4 linked regions of the Xenopus tropicalis genome follow. The protein of the gene in region 3 interacts with the protein of the main gene of each other region in a pairwise test. Links are inferred from orthologs where the notes say so. Each region holds a gene or a part of one and is shown on either strand. Other genes may lie near its edges. The genes, in order: rgs17, trim23, aqp1 and cep44.

Region 1 (6,893 bases), on a different chromosome or scaffold from region 3:
ATATTCTGAAGTTGTGTGAATACTTCAATAAGACCAGTATATATAAATATACTGAACAATTCATTGTGTGAAATATGAATGCACCTTTAAGCTAACTGGCCCAATGAGAACTGCCACTTGCCCAACTTCACAAGGCCTTAAACAACTATAGTACATATGCGCATCGCATTAAGAAAAATCTGGTACAAGCACAACCCATGCAGTATTCAATTTTCTTGTAGCAGCAATAACCACTGCGTAATAAATATAATGTTCATGCATTCAAACCTCTTAAAATCGGCAGGGGTTCAATAATGAAAATAGAAATAGCAAATCCTTTAACATGATCTGCACACTTGTCAGAAGGAAAGGGAAAGTCAACGTGTTTCCTTAATGTCCCAACACGGTAAAAGAGGACACGTCTTACTCTCCAAACTATTTTCCACCCAGCAACGAGTCTAGGTTTCTTCTCTGTAGACTGAGGTTTTTACTACTGTAAACAATTGTCTCTTAACAACTGCTAGCAGCAGAACTGAAACTCTACCCAGATAAACCTGTCTGTACATCTTATAGACTATATCGGTACAAATTCATTTCTCAACATGGTCGGAGTTATTGCTCCTTGAGCACCATACCATCTAAATGGACACAAAAATTCGAACGATACAGTAAACACAATTTTAATTAGGCAAGGGTCTTCTCTAAATCTCAGTAAATGCAAGTCTTCATTCCTGAAGTGGAAATATCACTAGTTTATTTTATTTTTAACTTTTTTTTCAGATTTTCTAAAAAAGAAAAAAAAATAAGAACCCAACACACACACATACGCACTCAATTTCTGTGCAACACACCGTAAGACTTATTCATGGCAGGGAGAAAACGCCAGTATGAATAAACTTCGCACAGGAGCATTCTCTGACAAAAACACATTTTTATGATAGAAATTATCATTTATAAATATTTTTATCGTGAATGTATCTACAACGTTACAAATAGTAGTCGTATTTGTCGTAAAAGTGCTGAATATCTCAGAATATCCAGATCCTCAATGTAAACAGAACCTATATTTTCCTATTTACAAATTTATTAGTTCTTTTAACCTTTTTTTATTTCTGTCAAACACTTACACAGGTAAACTATTTGCATAGGGAACAGGTAATAGCCCTTTAATATCCATTTCTCCTGAATTCTGTACAAATTACCAATGCAAAATATTTCATTTTTATAGATCTTAAACCATGCAAAATTATAGATAAAAAAAAAATTACACAATTGAAAAAAAGTCTGAATAAATAAAGCAAAAATAAATAATACCGAGGTAGTAACAAGAATTTTAAAAGAAAATTGTAACCGTGAGGCTGGATTTGCCGCTCCGAAAATCATGCAGTTTAAGCTTTAATAAGCATTTTTACTGTCACTGTGATGTTAGATCTGGCAAGATGTGATCATTTTTTAACAAATTTTGCTTTTTTTATAGAGATAATGGAGATATACGTTGTGTATGTGTGTGTGTGCATGTATATATATATATACAGGTATAGGATCCCTTATCTGGAAACCTGTTACCCTGAACGTTTCAAAATACGGAAAGGCCATCTCCCATAGACTCCATTGTAAGCAAATAATTATTTTCTCTTTAATAATAAAACAGTACCTTGTACTTGATCCCAACTAAGATATAATTCATCTTTAGAGGCAAAACAAGCCTTTTGGGTTTATTCAATACTTAAGTTATGGAGATCCAAATTACGGAGAGATCCCTTATCTGGAAAACCTCAGGTCCCGAGCATTCTGGATAACAGATTCCACACCTGTATATATTTTATATATACACTCAAAGCAATTTAAAAACCATAAAAAAATCTACCGTAAAGCAATACGAAGAATAACGTTTGGTTGTAATGCTGGTTTCTACAGATCCTTGTTACTAAGAATGTTTAGAAATGTGTAGAAGGATTGATATTTTACAACATTTTCAAAGTAGCTATTTTTAAAGTTAAAGTTTCTTTGTCAAAAAAAAAGTAGTTCTCATTCAGTCATAATAAAAGACATCTGTGTCATCAAAAGGTTTTCAAATGCTACATATAGGTAAACATCTTCATTTCTATTTTTCTTGAAATATTAAAGTATAAATATTTTTATTTTATTTTTTTTGCTGAAATACATAATGCTAGACAACAATGTTAAAACCGGTCGCCCAGTTTTACTTACATTTACAATGTACATAAATATGTTTTTTTTTTTTTGCTAGAACAATAAACAATATCAGCTGAAATATTTGGTCATCCATACAAGGTATCCTTTAGATTGCTTGTGCTTATTTGACATTGCAAACTCATTAATAAAAATATAAGAGAGCCACAGTTTGGCAGTGAACATCCGTGGAAATTCCACTTTAATTTCCTCCACACAAGGATAATTAGCTTTGCTTGTTTGTGTATTGGCTTGTTAGTATCCACTCTTTATACCACTGTAAAACACCATCTAATTGAAAATTGGATTATCCTAAAATGCCCATCTGAAGGAATACAAATCAAGCCAAAGTTTCATTTCAATATTTGAACATAATACTGTATTGCACATAAAATGTCAGTAACTACGTCGTTAATGCAATTGGCTATATATTGCAACAATGAATTGGTGTGTTGAGGACAGCTATTACCCTTGCACATGCAACATGAAATAAAACAAGGAGTCTGTTCATAGTCCACCCAATATATCATTGTAATGATATACTCAAGTAAATAGCATAGAAAACAAATGTGGCAATTCCAGTGTTGCTGTTTTTCAAACTCAAAGATGAAGAGCTTGTAAAAATGGAGACGGAGACCAAACAATTTTTAAAGTTATTCTTCACAGTAGCCTGAGTAGTGCACAAGTGGAGTTCTCCAGGAACTCAGTGTCTGATGGTAATAAACTACATATGTGTTCTGTTAAGAAAACAAGATATGTTATCCAGAGGTTTTAGCTAAGATTCAGTGATTGAGCCTTCTGTACTTTCAAGAAGAGACTTATAGACTTGTGAGTTCAAAAACCTTGGAAAAGAGTCTCTGTGCATCAATGTATAGATCTGAAGCTGGGCATCTTCGTACATATGGGGGGTAGGATCCAGCAAATTCCGGTTGATCACTTCACGCACTCTAGAGTCGAGGCTGACCTGTAGGCATGAAAATGAGCAAGTTATTGATTGCTAGTGTACAGTTTCACTGGGCATGTATAGTATTTTGTTTTCCTTTTCCGTGTTTTCATGGCAATATCAGTACATGGGAAGGCCAACTGTTCACAAATCAAATTTTTGAGTTTTTTTTCCTAATTCAGGAAAACTCAAAAAGCTTGAATGTGTGCTAATATATTAAAAAATGGAATTTCAAAAACTTGATATAAAACCATGAAAAAATGCTAAATCCCATAATACCTTTTAATGTGCCACATTTTAAATGAATCTCAAAAACTCAAATAAGTTTGCTCCAACTCCCATTGACGTCTACATGAACTCACAAGCTTCTTTTTCTGTTTGTGTTTTTGAGCATCAAGTTTTGGAAACCCAAATTTGAATTTATGTTTTTGTTGCAAAAATCTTAAATTGCAATAAAAACTTGAATTTGAATGTTTATAAAGCTTCCCCTTAGTTTAATGTCTGTAACAATATTGGCTTAAAGACGTCTATCCAATAAAACACCCTGTGTGTCATAAGACTAAATAAAAATGATTTCCAAGATTTCTCACATAGCATAAAGTCATCATTTACAAATGGAAACCTGTTCTTATGCCTTTTCCCTAAAGACAGTGTAAAAACTGAATTATGGATAGAATACTTTTGGTGCAAGAATGTAGCCATTTATTTGTGTTTGCAGGCACATTTGCAAATATTCTGTTTGCCTTTATTACAAAAGAGTCTAAGGAGCACCTGAATTTGACTTTTTACTGCAATCCTATTTTTTGGGGCAAAAATCACAAATTCGAGGTCCTGAAGCGTGAATTTTCGAAATTTATTATGCACAAAAACTCAAAAATAAAAGTCATTAGGAATTGTATTAGCAAGCTATTTTTCAATTAAAGTTTTCAAGACTAATTCAGAATTTAGTAGAATGTGATTTTACCACGTTCCAGTTTTTTTTTTTTCACAATTTCCACATTTTTTAAGATTCAAGTGTTTTACTAAAGGAGCACAGACTTGAGATTTTACATTTTTACGAATTGGAAAAAAAACCTTAGAAAAAGTCGAACTTAACATTTTTGATAAACCTGACAATCTTATGCAAAATAAACTCATGTTTTCTGACTTTCCCAACTGGATCATTTTATTTTAGCAAGGCTTGCTATAACCAACAGGTTTGATTCCAATGTCTTTGATTCCAATTGTTCATGCTGGTTATTCTAATAATCATTGGTAGGAAAACACTTTTGTAATGACAATCCCTTCTTGATTAACACTAAATTCAGCCAAATGTTCAATTTTTTTTGCTTAGGACATTGCTTTCCACCTTCCCAGCATAACACCATAGTTACTCTTCCATTTCCTAAACATATAGCAGATAGGCTTTGTATCAAAGTTTTTCGATTACTACTTGTTTTTTTATTACTCTATAAAAGTATTTTGATATGCTTGGGGATATTTTAGTTTAGTGAAAAGATAAGAGAACTTTAAAAGAAATGTGTAAGTCAGCTTCATGGCATATTGACACACTGCCAAGAGCATAAAAGATATATATACATGGGCTGGCTTTTGGCCATGCTATAAAATGTACTGCTTTTTTAAATAAAACAAAATCATATTTATCACTTATGAAGTCATAATATTCCATGCCGTCTACATTTCCCTTAACCCAGATCAAACGGAAATTTCTCCTTAATCTCTGCATTTTCTGGGTCCCTGGTGAGGTAATAAAGTCTTTCTCTACCTCTGCTATACACCCTTGTGTATCTCACGGTGCTGTGTTGCTTACTCACAGTTATAAAAGACAAGGTGATTGGACAGTGTCTGATCATCTATTGTTTTAATTTCTCTGGTGCTTATTATTTTCTCTTATAAGAAAACATAGAGAGGAAAAGGAACATGTCCAAGTATAGATATAATGACCTCTAACTGAGATCCTTAAAAAGCAAATGTGACTAATGTGGTCCTGGTTCAAAGTCAAACATTTTAGGCTGGTTTCAAAGGAAACCTCAGCCTACACATGATATTCATAGTGCTTCTCAGAGAACTTTTCAATTATAAATGCAGATGTTTCCAAAAAGTCAGAACTTCTGCTATATACTGTATATACAGCAAAAACGTTCTGCTCATAGGGTAGAGTCCTACTCACTAAACTACCACACTTTATTACATAAAGTATGTTTAAAGAATCTCATTGACAAAAGTGTAGAATGTACTTCTTGTGTATATATATATATATATTGTTAGAAAAACCATCAAGAGCAACCACATCCTCTGCTTCTATACTAATCTAGTAGTATAATAATCTGGCTCTTTCATGTGGATCAAGCTATCAGCAAATGAGTCATAACGGAAAGCTTTTGGATAAGAAAACCTTGCTGACTTTTTTTCTATCACTGTATAACAGGGAAAATCAGTCCAATCAGCTTGTTTCTGTGCAGCTCACTGGTAAGGAAGGGGTTTTATTGATGATAGGGTGGCAGAAAGAGTTTGGCTTTATTGGGGTTTGCAGGAGATCTGCTTCTGGGCAGGTCCCCATCTTTGTGTGTGCTCAGCAGTTTACAAAAAAATTTCAATGAATAACTGGCTGACAAATTTTTTGGCTGATTTCTAGTCATGGGAAAGGACTTGTCATCCCAAGCCCTTACAAGTAATTGTTCAAAGTCCGAGGGGAATCAGACTTTATACTCATAGCAACAAGGAGGAACACCAAGTGAGCAAGTTGTTCTCCCTCTGTAGGTATCACAGCACCTAACCCTAGACATCTTGGCCCAGACAAAAAGCTTCATGGTCATATTTTCTAGAGATCTACAAAAATTTTGACAAATACAACAATTATACTTGTAGCACAAATTGCCTGTATGTGTTTGTTAAAGAAATCCATTAGCCAGGTTTGGTTTAGGGAAATTAACTGAATGCAACCTGAGAATTTGCTTATATTAGTCTTAACATTTTACTCCAGAGATCAGCAGAAAGGCATGCCTCTGATGGCATTCCAGAAAACCAGTAGCCGCCCTCCATAGCTCAGAGGCTTTGGTGCTTTAAGAAGATGGTCCTTGGCCATGTACCCTGAAGAATGATTTTTCTAAACATTGGTTCCTCCTTGGGATCTCAGTATAGTCTTTAAATGCCTTTGAGCATTTAAGTATTATTAGTCATTAAGCATTATTAGTTATTTACATGAAATACACACATGATCATTAAGGAACATGCAGTTTCCCTTTGCAACCTCAGTTCAGACCTAGGGTCTTTTCAGTATTCCATTTACATTCCATTTACAACAAGGAAAACCGCCTGCCTGGCTGCTTAATCCAGAGATATTCAATCTCTAAGGGTCTCTCTTCACACTCTCCTAGAGCTGTCCCTATGGCCTGAGCAGAAAAAGCAGTGGGGCCAAGTGCAACTATACAGAAGTGCAAGGAGCATGTTGACACAAGTACCTACTGAATGTCATTTTATGTGCAACTGACTACAGCCAAGAGCAACTCTGCTTGTGTTCGTAAATGGTCCCTACTGTCACTATAAACTAAGTTCGAGGAAAGGCAGAATTAGGAAAAAAAATTTCAGCACTCATTAGTTATTACTACCCCTTTTTTCTTACAGAATATAGTTTCCTCTGTCCTTAGGTGTGCTGCGAATAGAAAGTAGGGAATATGCGAATTTTCATGCTCTAAAATGCAACAATAGATCTCTACAGGGATAAGTGACAGAAACTGAACTGTCACCTTAATAAGTTCTGTCTTGAGGGCAAATGACT
Region 2 (7,533 bases), on a different chromosome or scaffold from region 3:
AATCATATCACAAATCATCAGGAACCAATCACCCTCTATGAAACAATAGCCCAAACATAAGCTGTGTTATGATGCCATCCAAGGGCACAAGATAAATGACATTAAACTGCAAAGTAGGCATTTACCCGGAATAACTGAAATGGTATAGGACTTTTTGCTTTCACTTATCAATAACCCAATGACTGGTGTAAACTTAAAGGACCTTTATGGTTATTATTGGATTTTGCTAGCACAAATACAACTAGTTTTAAAGTTTCTTTAAAAATACAGCCTAAAAGTATTTGATTGATGTATAAGCCCCTACAGCAATATCTCTGCTTGTGATCTTGTGTGTATAACCATTGAGAGGGAAGGAACAGGCACAACCTGTAGCCAACCAGAGCATCAGAACGTTCATTACAAACCTTAACACAACCAACTTCCATAGGTAAGAGAAAAAAAACAACAACCACAAACATAGCTCCCCATAACCTCTATTTATGATGCTTATTTGGTGCAAACCAGAGCTCACTTAGGGTGCTACTATAAATCACACAGATACAGCACACACACAAAAAAAATTTTTTTTTTTTTTAAGAAAATCTGTTAAGGCTAGGGACCAAGGGAGCGGTTCAGTCACATGTGATAGATCTCTGCTATTATGGGCGACTTACCGCTCATAAATGCCTTTCCACCAGCAACAACAGGAGTCACCAATGGTAAAGCCATTGCATTTCTTCAGTAAGTTGTGCAAAGTTCCCTTCTGCAGGCAACTTCACGTGACTTCGGAAAACCGAGGTGATGTGAAAGGCTTTCCCACCGATTCCTATTGTTGGCGGTGGAAAGCCATTTCGGAGTGGTTAGTTGCCCTTGATAGCTTAGCCTTTATGTACAACTGCATGAGAATAAAGCTTTATAGGATATAATAAGATCATCTCCATGATCTAGATCAGTGATCCCCAACCAATGGCTCGTGAGCAACATGTTGCTCACCAACCCTTTGGATGTTGCTCCCAGTGGCCCTAAAAGAGGTGCTTGTTTTTTTAATTCTGGGCTTGGTGTCAAGTTTTGGTTGTATATAAACCCGGTGTATTGCCAAACAGAGCCTTCTATAAGCTGCCAGTTGACATAGGGCTTACCAAATAGCCAATCACAGCCCTTATTTGGCACCCCAGGAACTTTTTAAATGCTTGTGTTGCTCCCCAACTCAACTTACATTTAAATGTGGCTCACAGGTCAAAAAGGTTGGGGATCCCTGTTCTAGATAATGGTCTAAACATTTCTATATCAATAGACTCTGTATCCTCAGAAAGAGAACATCTAAAACCCTGACAGAGAAGGAAAGATTAACAGTGGTTAGAAATCAGCCCAAAAATGTTTGAATTATCCATTATAAATGATCAGTGTTGCATGGGGGGATGTGAAGTAGTCACAAATAGGACTTTCAGTAAAGTACATTGACACAGATCTCCTGGAATAGCTTAAGGGCAGACTATGGGCTAATGTAACACATAATGACACCATAAACTGAAGCAAATAACATACAGGTATGGGATCTGTTATCCAGAAAGTTCCAAATTATGGGAGGCCATCTCCCATAGACTCCATTATGAGAAAATATTTCTCATTTTTAAAAATGATTTCCCTTTTTCTCTGCAATAATAAAACAGTTCCTTGCATTTGATCCAAATAATTTGGAGGCAAAACAGTCCTATTAGGTTTTATTATGTGGAAAAGCCTTAGGTTCTGAACATTCTGGATAACAGGTTCCATACCTGTAACACATAATGACACCATAAACTGAAGCAAATCCACAAAAAAAAAATGTTGTTAACAATCTATTAAATTTTATATTTGCACTTTGGAGCAGCTATTTACAAAGCAGCCAGCACCAAAAGAGAATTATCGTATTATTTTCATACTGTATTGCTTATATTCCAAGCCACTAAATTGATCAGAAAAATCTTCTTAAAGCACTTATGGGAAAAAATGTTTTGCTTTACATCTATCAATGTCTGATTATTAGAGAACTCCTATCTAGATTCTATGGGGAAAATCTCTTTCCTCTCGTCTCTACCACTTAATCCTGAATGTAACTGTATTTTGTATTATATTTCATTGTACTGACCTGCCTGTTCCATTAATGTTAGTTAATTTGGCATTGTGTGTGCCATTAATTTGTTTTGCTGCACAGCTCTGCTTGCACAAGGTTCACTTTACAATGCTGTTTGTTGCACCCCTTACACGTATATGCATAAATTGGCCCCCGTGTAATGTTTTAAAGCCCCAAAAGACCTAAATAATTACTACCTGATACCAGGGCTATTTATTACATCTACTGTAACTTTTGAATGACGCTGCTCTCAAAAAATAGTAGAACCCTTATATTTGTCAGCTGGATGAGCTCATCCTTGCTATTAACTTACTTTTAATTAGAACAAATGTTCCTTAATGATATATTCTTAATAAAAACCTGGTTTAGTTGAGATTACAGTTTATCTTTCCCATCACTGTTGGTACAGGTTGGTATGTCTATCATTTATCATGTCTATTAGTCAGCACAGAGTTTTTCTGTATTTCCAGCATTATTGTATTTTAGTTCCCCTGCTTGAGGATAATCATACAAAAATGTATTGTAACCGTTGTGGAGCCCACCAATGAGATCATGCCCAATTGGTTAATTCCATGCACTTTCTTTGTGTCCTATGGGCCCCCAACCTGCTCCAAACGCAAGCATAAGCAGGAGGGGGCCACTCAGCTATGGCAGACAATCTGAGTAACTGCTGCTTTGCAGAATAATCATTTGCACTAACTGCGCTGCCATGGGGTTACTGTAGCATCAATGGTTAAGAAGATCACTCAATGTGGCTACCATAATGGCAAGGGATGGAAGTAACTAGAAATGACAGGGCAAGGCAGGGCAGCCTCTTGCTTAGGTGCATAGTCTATGTACTCTGGAACAGAAGTGAGTGGGCCAGGACACCTATGGGAATGGCCAGTGCAGGAAAGCTCTGGCTCCTGTGCTACAGCTTGGGGCAGGCCGGGCTGACTCCCCAGTCAGGGCGCAGAGAACACACACCACAGCCTCACACTGATACCTTTCAGGGCCAACAAATGTTCCTGCTTGGGCTGATTGACGTCCATGGTGCCAGAACCGCCGTCACCACCCCTACACACACCCGGAACTGCCTGTACGGGAAGACGAAAGGGCCAGTTCTAGTAAAACAAAATGCGCATGCGCAGAGGCTTTTTCCGCTTCTCAGTTCTATTATTCACATTGCAACAGAGCCCTGCAAAACTTTTATTTCGACAAAAGCTGCAGAACCACAGAATCGCCGTCTCTGCTATCTATCATTTTGTTTTTGTTTCAGGGGAAAAATATGAGGGCACGTTTGCCAATGTTTAAGATGGCGCCTTATAGCGTTAGCTCCCATTTTTCTGAGGCAAGAGACTGAGTTGGGTTATAGCTATTGGGTGAAACCACTTTGCGGTTTCGCTAGTAATAGTTTTAAAAGCCTTTTGCTCAGTCGGTGGTGTCATACGGATTAGACTTCTCAGATTGCTACTGTTATGAACCTAAGTAGATATATTCATTGTTTTTTAAAACAGGGTTTATTCTTAAATAATGCCATTTTCAACACCAGGATTCACATGATTTCTCAACCCTCTACCCGAAGTGGTACGGTCCAGCTGTCAACATGGCTGTCGCTGTAAACAGACACGGCGGCCCTGGAAGAATGGAGGGCAGCGGACGGCAGAGCCGGACCGGTCCGGGGGGAGCAGTAAAGGTGATACTAGAGCAGGGTTACGGGAGAAGTGTATGCCGTGTAGTTTGGGCCCTGGTTTATCCCTGCAGGAGGGCCCCCCTGCGTCTGGCTATATGCATTCTCCTTCCTACATCATTTCGTTGCAGAGTGCAGGGAGGCTTTAGGGGAAAGGGCAGTTTCGGAGATGGGATACTCCTAGGGGGAAACAAAGCAGAAAGGGCCTATTATATTGTGCTAGAGAGGAAGCTGCGGGGCCCAGACACTGAGTGATAAGCAATTCCAGTATATACTTATGTACAATAACTCTTAAACTTTAGGGGGGGGGGGGGTAATATGAATTTGCTGCGGGGCCCAGACACTGAGTGATAAGCAATTCCAGTATATACTTATGTACAATAACTCTTAAACTTTAGGGGGGGGGGGGGTAATATGAATTTGCTGCGGGGCCCAGACACTGAGTGATAAGCAATTCCAGTATATACTTATGTACAATAACTCTTAAACTTTAGGGGGGGGGGGGGTAATATGAATTTGCTGCGGGGCCCAGACACTGAGTGATAAGCAATTCCAGTATATACTTATGTACAATAACTCTTAAACTTTAGGGGGGGGTAATATGAATTTGCTGTGGGGCCCAGACACTGAGTGATAAGCAATTCCAGTATATACTTATGTACAATAACTCTTAAACTTTAGGGGGGGGGGGGGGGGGTAATATGAATTTGCTGTGGGGCCCAGACACCTCTAGTTATGCCACTGACATTAGCTATGGGCAGCCTTAGAGCTCTTTGTTCTTGTTGTACTGCACCTCCATACATTGGCTAGTAGGGCTATTGAGAGTTCTAGCAGAACAACAACTGGAGGGCTGCAGGTTAAACATCCCTAATATATTATATATACATATATTAATCCCCTTCATCAGACTCCAGGCTTTCTGCATTGCAAGCTACCCACCCCCCTTTAACTCCAGCCCTGGCTGTATGGATAAGTGTAAATGTCCTATACAGGGTTGTCTTTCAACTTTCCTATGCGTTTTAACTCCCAATGAACTACAACTCCCAGCATGCAAAGTCAGCTAGATGTAGGAAGCATATGGATAATACCCAATGGCAGCTATTGATATTCCATACCCACATCTGCAAAGGCAATAAGCCTATTGTATGTATTTATAACTTTATTTTTATATTGCTGCAAGGATACATAGCACTGTATCATTTTAAGAGAAAATGCTGCTTTAATTTATCTTAAACCTTATTAGCACCACCCAGCCTTTCCACTTCCACAGGCAGCTTTCCTGGGCTGTTCAGGAGGAGCAGTGGTCCCCAGCCTGATCTTTAGCAAGCAAATGATACATCCAGCAACATGGTTGCATCCTCGTAACTTTCAGACTGATATATTTAAATGTCTCTCCACAATGTAACCTTTCCACAATTGTTTAATCAACACTAGGTTCTGGAATGTGGTGTCTGTGAAGATGTCTTTTCACTGCAAGGAGATAAAGTTCCACGTTTGCTGCTTTGCGGCCATACTGTGTGCCATGACTGTCTAACACGCCTGCCTCTTCATGGCAGAGCCATACGCTGTCCATTTGACAGACAAGCTACTGAACTAGGTATTAAAGAATTCATTTTTTACTTTACTAAGCAATAGTATTATGTAATGTATTTAAGGTCTCTATAACACAAGGATTTTGATAGCTGTTACCTGCTGCAGATTGCTTCCCATTTGCTTCAAGTTGCTCTGCACTAGCTGCTCTCTCTTGCAACAAATAGATACTGGGTGACCCACTGCTCTCAAACAGGCCCAGACTGGGATTTATAATAGGCAGCTGCCCCTCTGGCATTTGCCAGAATCCACAGATTGCCAGTCTGGGTGTGCTTTAGAAACTCTGGGAACAGCCCATCTTTTGAGAATCTCTCCTTTATTCTGTTCCAAAATGTTAAAAACCATTTGTTTTATTTAATGAATTATTCCTTTGGTATGGGATTAGGTTTTTTTCTTTAATTTGGATCATCATGCCTTAAGACTGTTAAATAAGCATTGACATATTTAAAAAATATATATATTGTTTTGATGCCAGTTTGGATACAATAAGCTACCTTCATTGCCATCAAGTACTAGGCATTGTCTTATAATTGCAGAGAAGCTGAACAGTAAGAAATTAAGATTATTATTTGTTTAAATAATGTGTAAATGTCTTGTTCTTATACAGGAGACTCTGGTGTGTGGGGCTTAAAGAAAAATTTTGCATTACTGGAACTCCTGGAGCGGTTGCAGAATGGTGCCAGTAGTCAGTGTAGCACTGTAGAAGAGGCAATGGGCGGCTCTGGAGAGGTAATGCTGACTGTAGTTATTGTATAGTACATGTGGTAGAGAGGGTATTCAACTTTTTTATTCACCTGTTTTAGCTATGTTAATATAGATGGACCTATTATAAGCCACTTTTCAGTTAATTTTGTATGATTTACATCAAAACCAGAAGCTACAGGGTATACAATATCTTTTATTGGCTAATTCAGTAGATTATAAAAGTAGATTTTATAAACAAAAAATATAATCTGGTTGTTGAAGTTGTCAAAGTTTTAACACCATTCTGACCCTCTAAATGCATTTTTTTGTCCTAGATTTGGTCAGGGCCAGCCCCTTACCATATACCAAAGCTACAAATATATGTAAGCATCACTTTATCAGTTATTAGTTATGCTAATACAGCTTGCAGAATACCAAGGACAGCAAATCAGCACAAAGTTTATCTTATTTGAACTTCAGGAAGTGCTCCTACAAATTTTTGGGTGTATACAGGACCACAAGTATGCATATATCCATATCTTACTCCATTTGGATTTCTTGTTTCGGGATACCTATGGGTCTCGCAGTTCTAGGGACCTGTGCTCTAGATATTTCATTCTATTATTACCCTGTTTTAGGATTCTTTGGAAAAATATTGTACATGTTCTGTTGTATTATTCATTCGCTGGAAGTTTTTAATCTGTCAGAGTATCAGCTTGATTATTAAGCAGCAGTGTTTGTGCTTGCTTTCATTCTGTAGAGCATTGTACGCTGTGATGAAGATGAAGCCCATGTAGCATCTGTGTACTGCACAGTCTGTGCAACCCATCTCTGTGCAGACTGCTCCTTGAATACACATTCCACTAAAACACTGGCCAAGCACCGACGTGTTCCTTTAGCTGATAAGCCTTATGAAAAGACTTTGTGCTCTCAGCACCAAGTCCATGCTATAGAGTTTGTTTGTTTGGAAGATGGCTGCCAGCCCAGTCCTCTGATGTGCTGTGTCTGCAAAGAATATGGAAAACATCAGGGACACAAGGTAGGTATCAGGAGAATAAAGGTCGCCATACAAAGGTTGATAAAAGCTGCCAACTCTGCCTACAAGAGTTAGCAGCTCTTGGGCCTGCCCAACTGATCTATTGACGTAAATTGGCTAGTTATCAATCTGTCAGGTTTGATTATGTCATCCAACGAGGTCTGCATCAGCATATGATGACATCATCATCCAATAGGCCTATAGACCCCTCTATATTATCTGATGACCAATGATCGGATCAGCCTAAAGTGGCCCAGTGTGCCAGATCTGGCAATGTATGACCAGCTTTACTGTAGACATATCAGGGACGCCATTTTGAGAAAATATGGCATCCCTGAATTGCAGGTGTGTACCTTCTTAGAAACTACAGTAGAACCCCTCTTTTACTTTGTTCAGGGAGCCAGAAAATAATGACATGTTCCTATAAAAATAAATAGAAACATATCAGTATTAATAAAGAAT
Region 3 (7,461 bases):
AGCAAACTTAGGGGGCTGTTCCTGCTGAATTGTGCTTAGTACAGGGGAATCCCTATGTGCCATAGTTTTATGGTATCTCTCTGTACAGGCTATGGGCAAACTTAGGGGGCTGTTCCTGCTGAATTGTGCTTAGTACAGGGGAATCCCTATGTGCCATAGTTTTATGGTATCTCTCTGTACAGGCTATGGGCAAACTTATTTTGTTTATTTTTGTTCAGGCTTTTGCATTACCCGTTACTTTGCAGCTGGAAAGAATTGGTGGCCACGTGCCAAGAGGCACGTAAGGACCACTGAGCAATATGCGAGGATCATGGAGGGCAGGTCAGTGGCAGAAGCTGTGCTGAGGGTAAGAGTAACGCAGACCAAATGTACAGCCGCCTTGTGCTGCCAATCAAGCCCAGTAAGTACAGCACGCTGCCCTGGGGCAGTCCTACGCCCGTGTTAACCCCTGACATGCTGTGGAGGAAACAGAGGGCTGATTCCCAAAAATAACCAAGGTACTTGTTAATATAACCCAGTGATCTTCCATTAAGTAATGACTCAGACTCTTTATAAATTAGATTGTAAGCTCACTGGGGCAGGGACTGATGGGAATGGGATAGGGACCTTAGATTGTAAGCTCACTGGGGCAGGGACTGATGGGAATGTGATAGGGGCCTTAGATTTGTAGCTCACTGGGGCAGGGACTGATGGGAATGGGATAGGGACCTTAGATTGTAAGCTCACTGGGGCAGGGACTGATGGGAATGTGATAGGGGCCTTAGATTGTAAGCTCACTGGGGCAGGGACTGATGGGAATGTGATAGGGACCTTTAGATTGTAAGCTCACTGGGCAGGGACTGATGGGAATGTGATAGGGACCTTAGATTGTAAGCTCACTGGGGCAGGGATGATGGGAATGTGGGAGGGGCCTTAGACTGTAAGCTCACTGGGGCAGGGACTGATGGGAATGCTCACTGGGGCATGATGGGAATGGGGGGGGCCTGATTGGAATGGGGCCTTAGATTGTAAGCTGGGGGGCATGGGGACTGATGGGAATGTGATAGGGACCTTAGATGTAAGCTCACTGGGGCAGGGACTGATGGGAATGTGATAGGGACCTTAGATTGTAAGCTCACTGGGGGCGGGACTGATGGGAATGTGATAGGGACCTTAGATTGTAAGCTCACTGGGGCAGGGGCTGATGGGAATGTGATAGGGACCTTAGAATTGTAAGCTCACTGGGGCGGGGACTGATGGAATGTGATAGGGGACCTTAGATTGTAAGCTCACTGGGGGCAGGGGACTGATGGGAATGGGATAGGGACCTTAGATTGTAAGCTCACTGGGGCGGGGACTGATGGGAATGTGATAGGGACCTTAGATTGTAAGCTCACTGGGGCAGGGACTGATGGAATGTGATAGGGGACCTTAGATTGTAAGCTCACTGGGCAGGGGCTGATGGGAATGGGATAGGGACCTTAGATTGTAAGCTCACTGGGGCGGGGACTGATCGGAATGTGATAGGGGCCTTAGATTGTAAGCTCACTGGGGCAGGGGCTGATGGGAATGGGATAGGGACCTTAGATTGTAAGCTCACTGGGGCAGGGACTGATGGGAATGTGATAGGGACCTTAGATTGTAAGCTCACTGGGGTAGGGACTGATGGGAATGTGATAGGGCCCTTAGATTGTAAGCTCACTGGGGCAGGGACTGATGGGAATGGGATAGGGGCCTTAGAGTGTAAGCTCACTGGGGCAGGGGCTGATGGGATAGGGCCCTTAGATTGTAAGCTCACTGGGGCAGGGACTGATGGGAATGGGAAAGGGACCTTAGATTGTAAGATCACTGGGGCAGGGACTGATGGGAATGGGATAGGGACCTTAGATTGTAAGCTCACTGGGGCAGGGACTGATGGGAATGGGAAAGGGACCTTAGATTGTAAGCTCACTGGGGCAGGGGCTGATGGGAATGTGATAGGGACCTTAGATTGTAAGCTCACTGGGGCAGGGACTGATGGGAATGGGAAAGGGACCTTAGATTGTAAGCTCACTGGGGCAGGGGCTGATGGGAATGTGATAGGGACCTTAGATTGTAAGCTCACTGGGGCAGGGGCTGATGGGAATGTGATAGGGACCTTAGATTGTAAGCTCACTGGGGCAGGGGCTGATGGGAATGGGATAGGGACCTTAGATTGTAAGCTCACTGGGGCGGGACTGATGGGAATGTGATAGGGACCTTAGATTGTAAGCTCACTGGGGCGGGACTGATGGGAATGTGATAGGGGCCTTAGATTGTAAGCTCACTGGGGCGGGACTGATGGGAATGTGATAGGGACCTTAGATTGTAAGCTCACTGGGGCGGGACTGATGGGAATGTGATAGGGACCTTAGATTGTAAGCTCACTGGGGCGGGACTGATGGGAATGTGATAGGGACCTTAGATTGTAAGCTCACTGGGGCGGGACTGATGGGAATGGGATAGGGACCTTAGATTGTAAGCTCACTGGGGCAGGGACTGATGGGAATGGGATAGGGACCTTAGATTGTAAGCTCACTGGGGCAGGGACTGATGGGAATGGGATAGAGACCTTAGAGTGTAAGCTCACTGGGGCAGGGGCTGATGGGAATGTGATAGGGCCCTTAGATTGTAAGCTCACTGGGGCAGGGACTGATGGGAATGGGAAAGGGACCTTAGATTGTAAGCTCACTGGGGCAGGGAGTTGCAGTGAGTAAGTTACACGTATGTGTATGGGGAGTGAGTCTGTGAGTAAATCAGTAACTGGGGAAGGTGGGGGAGCCGGCAGGAGTAACTGGCAGTGAGACTGGGATGCGGCTGCTCCTTCCTCCCTTTGTGCAACCCCCCCTCTCCGCCTACAGACCCCCCCGGCCCCTATAAATATCCCCCCGGCTCCTCTCTCCCTCAGACCCGAGCCCATAGGGAAGCAGCACAGAGAGGGAGAGGATGGCGAGTGAGCTGAAGAAGAAGGCTTTCTGGCGGGCAGTTATTGCCGAGTTCCTGGCCATGATCCTGTTTGTGTTTATCAGTATTGGCGCTGCCCTGGGGGTGCAGTACCCCATACCCGCCGACGCCGCCAACGCCACCAACACCGACACTCGCCAACAAGACATCGTCAAGGTTTCCTTGGCCTTTGGACTGGCCATTGCCACGTTGGCTCAGAGCGTTGGCCACATCAGCGGAGCCCACCTCAACCCAGCTGTCACCCTGGGCTGCCTGCTCAGCTGTCAGATCAGCATCCTGAAGGCTCTTATGTACATTATTGCCCAATGCCTGGGCGCCGTCGTGGGCACCGCCATCTTGTCCGGCATCACCACCCAGATCAGCAACAACTCACTGGGGCTCAATGGGGTAAGTACCCCCAAGTCTCATTGTGTACCCATCTGTATATGGCCAGCTGGCACCTACACATTGTCATTGGTCAGGTCTGTCAGTCTGTCTATCTATCTATCTATCTATCTATCTATCTATCTATCTATTTATCTATCTATCCATCTAGATAGATAGAGAATGGGTGACCAATAGCAGCTGGTTTATAGGCCCCTCCCATGCTCAGTGCTGGCATAAATGCACCTACATGTGCCCAGTTATGGCTACAAGCCCCCCAATCCAAGATAATCTCTTTGTAGTCCAAACTCTTCTTAGTGGGGCATAATAGGACCTGTGGCCCTGGGTCCCTGCAGAGCATAATTGTTCTATTGGTGGAAAGAGTTGGGCAGAGTTGGCCAGAGAGATGGACAGAGAGTTGGGCAGAGTTGGCCAGAGAGATGGACAGAGAGTTGGGCAGAGTTGGCCAGAGAGATGGACAGAGAGTTGGGCAAAGTTGGCCAGAGAGATGGACAGAGAGTTGGGCAGAGAGTAAGGCAGAGTGTTGGGCAGAGAGTTTGGTAGAGAGTTGGGCAGAGAGTTGGGCAGAGAATTGGGCAGAGTAGGACAGAGAGTTGGGCAGAGAGTAGAGCAGAGAATAGGTCAGAGTTGGGCAGAGAGTTGGGCAGAGAGTTGGACAGAGAATAGGGCAGAGTTGGGCAGAGAGTAGGGCAGAGAGTAAGGCAGAGAGTTGGGCAGAGAGTTTGGTAGAGAGTTGGGCAGAGAGTTGGGCAGAGAGTTGGGCAGAGAGTTGGGCAGAGAGTTGGGCAGAGAGTTGGGCAGAGAGTTTGGTAGAGAGTTGGGCAGAGAGTTGGGCAGAGAGTTGGGCAGAGAGTTTGGTAGAGAGTTGGGCAGAGAGTTGGGCAGAGAGTTGGGCAGAGAATTGGGCAGAGTAGGACAGAGAGTTGGGCAGAGAGTAGAGCAGAGAATAGGTCAGAGTTGGGCAGAGAGTTGGGCAGAGAGTTGGACAGAGAATAGGGCAGAGTAGGACAGAGAGTTGGGCAGAGAGTAGAGCAGAGAATAGGTCAGAGTTGGGCAGAGAGTTGGGCAGAGAGTTGGACAGAGAGTAGGGCAGAGTTGGGCAGAAAGTTGGACAGAGAGTAGGGCAGAGTTGGGCAAAGAGTTGGGCAGAGAGTTATGCAGAGAGTAGGGCAGAGTTAGGCAGAGCGTTGGGCAGAGAGTAGGGCAGAGTTGGGCAGAGAGTTGGGCAGAGAGTTGGGCAGAGAGTTGGGCAGAGAGTTATGCAGAGAGAAGGGCAGAGTTAGGCAGAGAGTTGGGCAGAGAGTAGGGCAGAGTTGGGCAGAGAGTAGGGCAGAGTTGGGCAGAGAGTAGGGCAGAGTTGGGCAGAGAGTTGGACAGAGAGTAGGGCAGAGTTGGGCAGAGAGTTGGACAGAGAGTAGGGCAGAGTTGGGCAGAGAGTTGGACAGAGAGTAGGGCAGAGAGTAGGGCAGAGTTGAGCAGAGAGTTGGGCAGAGAGTAGGGCAGAGTTAGGCAGAGAGTAGGGCAGAGTTAGGCAGAGAGTTAGGCAGAGAGTTGGGCAGAGAGTAGGGCAGAGTTAGGCAGAGAGTTAGGCAGAGTTGGGCAGAGATTGGACAGAGAGTAGGGCAGAGAGTAGGGCAGAGTTAGGCAGAGAGTAGGGCAGAGTTAGGCAGAGAGTTGGGCAGAGTTGGGCAGAGAGTTGGGCAGAGAGTAGGGCAGAGTTGGGCAGAGAGTAGGGCAGAGTTGGGCAGAGAGTAGGGCAGAGTTAGGCAGAGAGTTGGGCAGAGGGTAGGGCAGAGTTAGTCAGAAAGTTAGGCAGAGAGTAGGGCAGAGTTGGGCAGAGTTGGGCAGAGAGTTGGGCAGAGAGTAGGGCAGAGTAGGGCAGAGTTGGGCAGAGAGTTGGGCAGAGATTAGGGCAGAGTAGGGGAGAGTTAGGCAGAGAGTTGGACAGAGAGTAGGGCAGAGGGTAGGGCAGAGGGTAGGGCAGAGTTAGGCAGAGAGTTAGGCAGAGAGTTAGGCAGAGAGTTAGGCAGAGAGTTGGGCAGAGGGTAGGGCAGAGTTAGGCAGAAAATTAGGCAGAGAGTAGGGCAGAGTTGGGCAGAGAGTTGGGCAGAGAGTTGGGCAGAGAGTAGGGCAGAGTTGGGCAGAGAGTTGGGCAGAGAGTTAGGCAGAGAGTTAGGCAGAGGGTAGGGCAGAGTTAGGCAGAGAGTTAGGCAGAGAGTAGGGCAGAGTTAGGCAGAGAGTTAGGCAGAGGGTAGGGCAGAGTTAGGCAGAGAGTTAGGCAGAGAGTAGGGCAGAGTTGGGCAGAGAGTTAGGCAGAGAGTAGGGCAGAGTTAGGCAGAGAGTTAGGCAGAGGGTAGGGCAGAGTTAGGCAGAGAGTTAGGCAGAGAGTAGGGCAGAGTTAGGCAGAGAGTTAGGCAGAGAGTAGGGCAGAGTTAGGCAGAGAGTTAGGCAGAGGGTAGGGCAGAGTTAGGCAGAGAGTTAGGCAGAGAGTTGGGCAGAGTTGGGCAGAGAGTTAGGCAGAGAGTTGGGCAGAGTAGGGCAGAGAGTTAGGCAGAGAGTAGGGCAGAGAGTTAGGCAGAGAGTAGGGCAGAGTTAGGCAGAGAGTTATGCAGAGGGTAGGGCAGAGTTGGGCAGAGAGTTAGGCAGAGAGTTGGGCAGAGTAGGGCAGAGAGTTAGGCAGAGAGTAGGGCAGAGTTGGGCAGAGAGTTAGGCAGAGAGTAGGGCAGAGTAGGGCAGAGTAGGGCAGAGTAAGGCAGAGAGTTGGGCAGAGTAGGGCAGAGTTAGGCAGAGAGTAGGGCAAAGTAGGGCAGAGTTAGGCAGAGAGTAGGGCAGAGTAGGGCAGAGTTAGGCAGAGAGTAGGGCAGAGAGTAGGGCAGAGTAGGGCAGAGTAGGGCAGAGTAAGGCAGAGAGTAGGGCAGAGAGTAGGGCAGAGTTAGGCAGAGAGTTAGGCAGAGAGTAGGGCAGAGTTGGGCAGAGAGTTAGGCAGAGAGTAGGGCAGAGTAGGGCAGAGTAGGCAGAGTAAGGCAGAGAGTTGGGCAGAGTAGGGCAGAGTTAGGCAGAGAGTAGGGCAAAGTAGGGCAGAGTTAGGCAGAGAGTAGGGCAGAGTAGGGCAGAGTTAGGCAGAGAGTAGGGCAGAGTTAGGCAGAGAGTAGGGCAGAGTAGGGCAGAGTAGGGCAGAGTTAGGCAGAGAGTAGGGCAGAGTAGGGCAGAGTTAGGCAGAGAGTTGGGCAGAGTAGGCAGAGTTAGGCAGAGAGTAGGGCATAAGTAGGCGCAGAGTTAGGCAGAGAGTAGGGCAGAGTAGGGCAGAGTTAGGCAGAGGTTGGGCAGAGTAGGGCAGAGTTAGGCAGAGAGTAGGCAGAGTTAGGCAGAGAGTAGGGCAGAGTAGGGCAGAGTTAGGCAGAGAGTAGGGCAAGTAGGGCAGAGTAGGGCAGAGTTAGGCAGAGAGTAGGGCAGAGTAGGGCAGAGTAGGCAGAGTAAGGCAGAGTTAGGCAGAGAGTTGGGCAGAGTAGGGCAGAGTTAGGCAGAGTAGGGCAGAGTTAGGCAGAGAGTAGGGCAGAGTAGGGCAGAGTAGGGCAGAGTTAGGCAGAGTAGTAGGGCAGAGTAGGGGCAGAGTAGGGCAGAGTAGGCGAGAGTTAGGCAGAGAGTTGGGCAGAGTAGGGCAGAGTTAGGCAGAGTAGGGCAGAGTTAGGCAGAGAGTAGGCAGAGTAGGGCAGAGTTAGGCAGAGGAGTTAGGCAGAGTAGGGCAGAGTTAGGCAGAGTAGGCAGAGTTAGGCAGAGAGTAGGGCAGAGTTAGGCAGAGAGTAGGGCAGAGTTAGGCAGAGAGTAGGGCAGAGTTAGGCAGAGAGTAGGGCAGAGTTAGGCAGAGAGTAGGGCAGAGTTAGGCAGAGAGTAGGGCAGAGTTAGGCAGAGAGTAGGGCAGAGTTAGGCAGAGAGTAGGGCAGAGTTAGGCAGAGAGTTGGGCAGATGATACTATTAATCACAGTTGCACAAGCAGCAGCCATTCAGCACCCACTGACAGCTGAGGCACCTACTGTATTAACTAACGCCCCCCCACTACAGATACCCCCCCACTACAGATACCCCCCCACTACAGATACCCCCCCACTACAGATACCC
Region 4 (7,631 bases), on a different chromosome or scaffold from region 3:
CGTTTTGTACTTTTTCTCTTTAACTTAGATCAGTCGAGAACAGTTTAAATGAATGAAAAAATGGTTGCAACAGCTTACCACAGTGAAGCAATGTGCCTTCTATGCTGGCAAATTTACTATTTATTGACCCCAAACAGTTTAGACAACTTCTGTTGGCTAAATATTAAGATACTAAATTTCCTGGTTACAAAATAAAGGACTAGTGTCTCTATGAGACATCACCATGGAAGGAAATTGAATCCATGAATTATGACCATGACAATTTACTGAATGTTATGAAATTGACAAAATATTATCAAAAAGTTTTCTTCTAGTTACATAATGTGTTAAAGGGATACTATCTTGATTTTATGGTGTACTTTTAATTTCTATGTTACTCTGTTTACATAGCAAATAATTCACTCGACCATTTAAAATGTTATTCTTGAACCAACAAATGTATTTGTTTTTAGTTGTAATGTTGGTGTGTAGGCAGCCATCTCAGTGCATTGGGCCTAAGTCTGAGCAATTCAGAACATGTAACTTGGGTTTCTTACTATTGAGTGCTATTCTGATATCTACTGGTAGCTGCTTTCTTGCTACATTCCTACTGTTCTGCTGATCGGCTGCTGGGAGGGAGGTGATATCACTCCAACTTGCAGCTTAGCAGTAAAGTGTGACTGCAGTATATCAGAGCACAGGTCACGTGGCTTTAGCACCCAGGGAAATGAAGAATACAGATAGCCCCATGTAAAATGTCTAAATTAAATATAAAAAGATCTATTGTATCTATTTGTATTTTTGAAAAACAGATTTCAATGCAGGATTCTGGGAAAGCTCTATTAACTGAACAGACACACCCAAAAATGATATAGACACAGTGTTTACATAAAGGAATGTTTATGGCATTAAACGTCACACGCACAAGTTGTACTTATCTTCAACTGTCTTCATGAGGAAATATGACTTTGTAACTTATTCCACTTGTGTTGCATCTTCCCAATTGTCTTCAATGTATTTGATATTTAATTTTCCATTTACATATTTGATAGTAGTTTGGGTACAAATCAAGCAATTGAGGAGCTGAAGAGATGTAACTGCCAACCTTTCCCCCCCAGCCAACTGCTTGTTATAAGCACACAATCGGTAATTATTAAGGCTTTATACCAATATATACAATAAGAACAACTTATTATTGGTTTCCTTAAAGGAGAACTAAACCTGCAAAAAAGAAACATTTCTCAAATGTTTCTCATTACCCCTCCTCTTGAACCGCCACATTAAAAATTGTTTTATTATTATTTTAATTGTGCACTACTAGTTCAAACATTGCCAGTATTAAAGACTTTGCTTCTGCCATGTTCTTTTACCCATATCACACACCCCCGTGTTTCATTGCAACTGCGCATGCCTTCTTACCCTGCTGGTTGCATAAACTACACGTGGGTTCAGACTGCATTATAAACAAACAGTTCTGCCCCACAGACCTCATTCAGACCAGAACCCTGATTAGCTTTTGGTGTAAATTGCTCCTTCGCTCGCTGATACCCTGTAAACAAAAGCAAGCAGAGGAGCTTGAAAGCTTCTCTTCAGGATGTCTGCAAGGCAACAGGACCACATAAACCTTATTGGCACATGATATAAGACAGGAGAGCCTGAGAGATCAGTGATGATTCTTGGGTAGGTCATGGACCCAAGTATCATTGCTAGAATGCCCAGGACTCCAAAATGATGAAATGCTCACGTGTGTGCCCAGAATCAGCTCATTTCTAGAAGCGAAGAAAGTTAAAGTTTGCACTGCAGCAGCTTTTAACTTATTTTAAAAATGAGTGATCATTCTAAATTATTCACAGCATCCTAGAAGAAATCCTTTTTTAGCACATAGATCTACATGTATAGGCCAATAATTAACGCTTTATTTATTTTTTTACCATTCCTTGTTTAAATCACCTGATAACCTAGCTAATTGAAATATATAATGTGCATGTAGTTATAGCTTAGGCACAGAACAATAACTAACTCTTAACAATGTTGTCTTAGTAAAGTGCACATTGAAAGCCAAATTACAAAGGGTCCAATAGATTGTAGGTGTAAAAAATAGAAGATAACACAATACAGGCAAGTGATAAAAAGAGTTGGTAGTTAGAGATGTGTCAGGTAGACTTAGATGGGTCAAGTGTGTCTTTTTTAAGAATAGTTCAAAACAGGTCTGCGTGAATAAAGAGGTGAATAGTCCAGAAGCTACGGAAGTGTTTGATATATGGGTCAATACTGGCGTAAGATCAGCAGCACAGTGTTTAAAGGGGTTGTTCACCTTTTAGTTAACTTTCAGTATGAAGTAAAGAGTAATATTCTGAGACATCTTGCAATTCTTTTTAATTTTTTGTGTTATATGAGGTTTAATTATTTCACTTTTTGTTTAGAACCTACAAGTATGGAATTTCAGCAGCTATCTGATTGCTAGGGTCCAAATAACCTTACCAACCAGGGGGTGTTCCCCTCAAACAGTGCTGGTACATTAAAACTACCCTCGCCTGACAGATGCAAATTTTAATATATATATTTCTTATTTATTATATAAGAGTATCAGCCCCCCCTTATCTCAACACAGACAGCCTGGTGTAAGACTAAATGACCATTTTGGTCAATACTTTCTCTGCAGCCTATGGGGTAATTTTCTGAAACTGGACAATTTCTTGGGGTGAAAATGTCAACATTTTTGATGTGAAAAAAACCCCAATATATTTCTTCTTATTTTTTGACTGAGGGTTTATGTCCATACAAAGTACAGCTGGGCACAGGGCAGCTTTGTATGTGTCTATTAACCTTTATTTACATAATCCTAACTAACTGAACTTTATGTCAAATAAGCTCAATTAAAAGCAAAGTAAAATTAAAGTAAATAGTACCATTTCAGTAAATTGTGCTCATACCATTTCCATGATAAGATGCTCCATGGGCAGAAAGGAAACAGTAATCTAAGCAACACAGCCAATACAAGTAACTAGCCCTCCTGCTTCTGTAAGAGTTGAGCTGTTGGTTGAAGACAAAGTGCAGGCAGAGGAATCAGTTAGGACTAGCTGCAGTGTTCAGGACATTAGGTTGTGCAGATGGTATGGGCACAGTTTAATGGTATGAGCCAGTATCACCTCAGTGCTATAACCAAAAGTTACATGAGTCACAAGCACTAATTCCCCTGACTCTCGAGTTTGGGCGTGGGATCAGTGCTAATATTTGAATACACTTCAAAACAACATTCACTTGCAAGAAATATGGTTGACACATTTAAATTGTAGTTATTTTTTCACTTAAACAGAGTTAAAGGTGGATTAGTGAATGCCATGAACCTTTGTATTCCTACACCCCAAAGATCTGAATTTCAAAAGCAACCATTCTCGCTAGTCAGAGAAACAGAAGTGAGAAGAAACCCACTTACTTACACCATGAGTGCCGTATCTTGACAGGTGCACACAACCCTCCTGCGCTCTCTCTTGCTCCTCTCTGCTGCCTGGTTCCTGAGCTCCCAGTGGTTCTTCTCGCATCCAATCATGTGACCGTGATGTCACTAACCTACAAGGAGGCAGACGGGACAAACTTGCTCAATGTGTACTAAACTGTTGTACTGCTTATTCTATTACGCTTTCAGTAATGACGCTATGGGTGTTGCCATGGCTACCACAGGAGCCACTCCAACTTCCTTTTCCTGTTTTCGCAGACTCCTCCAACTCGACTGGAAATGACAGAACTTATGATGACACCTTTAGTGAGGAATTTGATAAAAGGCCGCTAGAGCAACTAACTAGGTTCGGCCTTGAGTAGGCATAGCAGTTAAAGGAGCAATAAAACCAAAATAAAAAAAATGTATCAATGGTACAGGTACCTGGCGTGAGACGGCTGCATTAAAACGTTTTATGGTTTTTCTAAAGGGGTTACTAAATATTTCGCCGTAGAGGCTCTGCTGTGCAGATTCTAACATGGTTGTAGGGACCACCTTTGTAAAACAAATACGTTATATAGACTACATGGTGCTTATGTGGAAATAAACAGTGGGGGCAATACGGGAGCGCGCTCCTAGTGGGCTTCCAGTGAATTCGGGAGCGCGCTCTCAGGGGGTTTCCAGTGAATTCGGGAGTGCGCAGCGTGTGGTTTTACAGCTAACGCGGGAGCGCCTGGCTTTCTATGTTACGTATAACGCGGGAGCGCGCATTCCGTGTGAGCGGTCTTTGGGCTGTGGAATGGCGGGAGGATTCGTATGGGGAAAAGTGGGGCTGAGCTGAGCTGAAGCCATTTATGCGGAGCTCAGGAAGTTGAAAGCGGGAGTGCGGGGACTGGTAGCGTTCGGTTGGAAAGAGCCTGTGTGTGGGACGCTGTGAGGGCTCTTACAACACAAGGCGTTATAGGGTATTCCAAACACTTGCACTTCTACCTATGTCCTACCAGCTCTGAAAAGCGAGGTGAGCTAAGGAACCGGAGGGCCAAAAGGGTATGTTTGCTTTCATAGGCTATTTGGGTGTCACATGACTTGTGTAATACTTTGATGCGCCCCTCATAATAAAATAATAATTGGCAGACGTACAGGAGATGAAGCAATAACCTCAATATAGGTAAACTGTTATAATTGCCTTTATATTACCTTACAAATATTAGTGTTCTAGTTGCAGCTTTTAGTTGCTTTTGGCTTTGAATGGTTTATGAGGGAGCCCAGATGCCAGTGTGTATGACAGTAAATGGCCTTTACCCTCCACCAAGTATACTTTGTAATGCTTTCCTTATCGTTTGTCTGTGCTGGCACTAGGGTTATTGTGCAGATTGCAACTAGTGTTTTAGCCTGAAGCAGTGTAAAATCCTGGTATTTACTCCAGACAGAAATACAACAGGGGTGTGTACTATGTTTACCATCAGCCAGCTTCCCACTAAGGCACCTTTGCAAAATAAAAGAATTCCGCCGGTGCCAGCTCTCTGATACGCATCCATCAGATGCTTGAAAAGTTACATTGCAAAAGTGTATGCAAGCTTTTGGGGCTTAATAATTTCTGTGAGCTCAGGCCTATCTCGCAGGGTTCTCAGGTAGGGATATACACTCATAGGCCTGTGTTTAGGTGAGCACTTTCCTCATTCATCATGTGACAGCAGGTTGCCAAATGATGCACAATTTCAGTGTATATAGATGTGTGTGAAAGAGATAATCTTGTCCAAACTATTTTTTTTGGATTGGTTATTATATATATATATATATATATATATATATATATATATATATAATTAGTATAAAAAAGACCAGCAACTCCGGGATTTCTTGTGAAAAATCAAAACATATATTCAAAACAGCATAAACAGCCGCCGTAACGTTTCGGTCCCCATCGGGACCTTTCTCAGGGCATCATATATATATCCATAACATTAATATGTCTTCTTCTGTTTCTTAGGTTAAGTTTGGTTATTCGTGTGTGGAAGATCTAGGAAAACCATGGCAACTGGGGATGTAAAAGGCTGTATTCGAAAGTTAGAACAAAGACTAAGAACACTTAATTACCCTAGGGATGTGGACTATTCAGGGTAAGATTCCCTTTCTTAAAGTCCTATAATTATGTTTCTGAGAAAAAGATATTTAGTACTGTGTTTTATTTTTTATTTTTTCAAAGGAGAAGGAAAGGTAAAAACTAAGTAAGCTTTATCGGAAAGGTCTATGTAAATACAGCTATAAGCACTCACAGCAACACTGCACTGAGTTCTCTGTCAAAAGAAACAGAATTTGTTGTCTCTTTGTTTTCCTGTGCCAGAGACACACAGCTCTTTCCTCTCTCCCTCAAGAATGCTAAGAACTCACTCCCCCCCCCCCATCTTAGGAATGTGTGATCTGAGCCAATTAGCTGGAAGCTTCCTCATAGTCTTACAAACTGAGCATGTACACAGGTCTTGGTCTTGGTGCAGGAGCAAGGCATTATGGGAACGTTCTTTACAGAGCTCAGCATTTTTCTTTTCCTGTGAGGCTTCTGATTATCAGAACGGGAGAAATATGGGGAGACTTAAGGGCACTATTGAGAGAACTGAAGGAATGCCTGCAGCTTGAGATTAACTCTTTATTAGCCTTTGCTTCTTCTTTAAGTAACTTTATACAGGTCAGTTCTTTTTAATGTCATGTTATCTTTAAAAAAGACAGTTTTCTTACCAGCAATTAGTTTTTAAACCAATGGGAACTGTATGAATATTGGCAATGAGTATTTCTAGCACCTGCCATGCTTAATTTTAATCATAGATAAATTATTTTTTAACATTTTTTAAATTCCACAGATTGATTAAAGGAGATCCTTCTGCATTCTTGCCTATCATCAGTTACACATTCACATGCTATTCCACAAGCATTGCAGAGATTTTGATTTCTTTGGGTATAGAGCTCGCAACTAAGAGCGATTTGAGATTTATTGAAGCAGTCTATAAGGTAAATTGTATTCTAAGATCAGTAATCTTTGTACCGTAATGTTATTTTTGCCCATGTATTCTTATGTATCATATCTGAATTGAGTGGCTTAGGAATTATGTTCATCCATATATGTGGTTGCATATGCGTAATAATGGGTCATGGAGGGTCTTAGCAGTTTGACGTGCTGCTGAGTTTTATATACTCCGGTATGTAGGCTCATGCGAAATGGAAGACCAGGTAAGTTTGACTGTAGTGACGCGGTCTTATATAGACACGTGTGAAATTCACTCAGGAAGTAGCTTCGTTAACTGAGGCTACACAGTGCTAAAACGCGTTAGGAATATGACCAGCAGGAATGAATGCACTTTTGTGCTGCATGATTTCCAACTCTCTCACATACTCCAAGCACTTTACTATGAAATCTCCCTTAGGATCACCTCAACTTAAGGATAAATGCACTGCGCACTTCCATTCACCTGCTTTATCTTCCTGATCAGTGGAATGCTATCTAACTGATGCACTTTCACCTTGCATATTATTTCATTTTAATGTATGTTCTCACATTAATATTGAATCAGTATGGAGACGTTTAGGAAACACCTTCTCCACATGGGAAGCATTATTCACTAATACATAAATACTTTCTGGCAAGCTTAAAAATAAGTGGAGTGGACCTTGTCAATTGCTTACTGCCTTTTAGTGTATATTAAGTCTAAAGGTGGCCATACACGCACCGATATTATCGTACGAAACCTCGTTTCGTACGATAATCGGTGCGTGTATGGCATGTCGGCGAGTCAACCGATATTGCAGGAAGCTGCTGATATCGGACGACTCGCCGATCGGTCCAGTTTGAAAATTTTGATCGGGCGCCATAGAAGGCGCCTGACCAAAATTCTCCCTTCAGAGCTGAATCGGCAGAAAGAGGTAGAAATCCTATTGTTTCTACCTCCTTACCTGCCGATTCAGCCCTGAATGGTGTGTGGCGGATCTTACGATGTTTCGTGCGACCGATGGTCGTACGAAACATCGTCAGATCGCCACGTGTATGGCCACCTTAAGTTGACGTGCATGCAACTGTAAAGTTTTTGTAAATGGAGGGCAATCAGCAGTGCTGAATCTGAGTTTAAGTGCATGCATCATTGCTGTGTCATTGTAGCCCTCTGTGCACCAGGCTGTATTCTTATCGATGTAAAATGCTAAGCAGATTGGAGAGTCTGCAAGAGAGTGA

What was found.
Region 1: the proteins of aqp1 (region 3) and rgs17 interact in binary tests that used the Homo sapiens proteins (3 or more experiments, as listed by UniProt). The two-hybrid records come from large-scale screens. The link is inferred for Xenopus tropicalis from reciprocal best matches to the Homo sapiens genes AQP1 and RGS17.
Region 2: the proteins of aqp1 (region 3) and trim23 interact in binary tests that used the Homo sapiens proteins (3 or more experiments, as listed by UniProt). The two-hybrid records come from large-scale screens. The link is inferred for Xenopus tropicalis from reciprocal best matches to the Homo sapiens genes AQP1 and TRIM23.
Region 4: the proteins of aqp1 (region 3) and cep44 interact in binary tests that used the Homo sapiens proteins (3 or more experiments, as listed by UniProt). The link is inferred for Xenopus tropicalis from reciprocal best matches to the Homo sapiens genes AQP1 and CEP44.

The regions. Positions count from the first base shown.
Region 1 is NC_030681.2:42,987,293-42,994,185, forward strand, and holds the end of rgs17 (regulator of G-protein signaling 17), read right to left. Parts: intron 3,137-6,893; coding exon 2,948-3,136; 3' UTR 2,081-2,947; downstream 1-2,080. UniProt on the Homo sapiens protein: Regulates G protein-coupled receptor signaling cascades, including signaling via muscarinic acetylcholine receptor CHRM2 and dopamine receptor DRD2.
Region 2 is NC_030677.2:187,785,108-187,792,640, forward strand, and holds the start of trim23 (E3 ubiquitin-protein ligase TRIM23), read left to right. Parts: upstream 1-3,211; 5' UTR 3,212-3,677; coding exon 3,678-3,767; intron 3,768-5,195; coding exon 5,196-5,358; intron 5,359-5,958; coding exon 5,959-6,080; intron 6,081-6,795; coding exon 6,796-7,074; intron 7,075-7,533. Other genes in the region: trappc13 (trafficking protein particle complex subunit 13), read right to left, coding at 3,078-3,123.
Region 3 is NC_030682.2:8,351,478-8,358,938, forward strand, and holds the start of aqp1 (aquaporin-1), read left to right. Parts: upstream 1-2,916; 5' UTR 2,917-2,943; coding exon 2,944-3,348; intron 3,349-7,461. UniProt on the Homo sapiens protein: Forms a water channel that facilitates the transport of water across cell membranes, playing a crucial role in water homeostasis in various tissues.
Region 4 is NC_030677.2:48,383,128-48,390,758, reverse strand, and holds the start of cep44 (centrosomal protein of 44 kDa), read left to right. Parts: upstream 1-3,673; 5' UTR 3,674-3,782; intron 3,783-3,859; exon of another isoform or gene 3,860-3,955; intron 3,956-4,169; exon of another isoform or gene 4,170-4,462; intron 4,463-5,405; 5' UTR 5,406-5,446; coding exon 5,447-5,535; intron 5,536-6,270; coding exon 6,271-6,418; intron 6,419-7,631. UniProt on the Homo sapiens protein: Centriole-enriched microtubule-binding protein involved in centriole biogenesis. In collaboration with CEP295 and POC1B, is required for the centriole-to-centrosome conversion by ensuring the formation of bona fide centriole wall.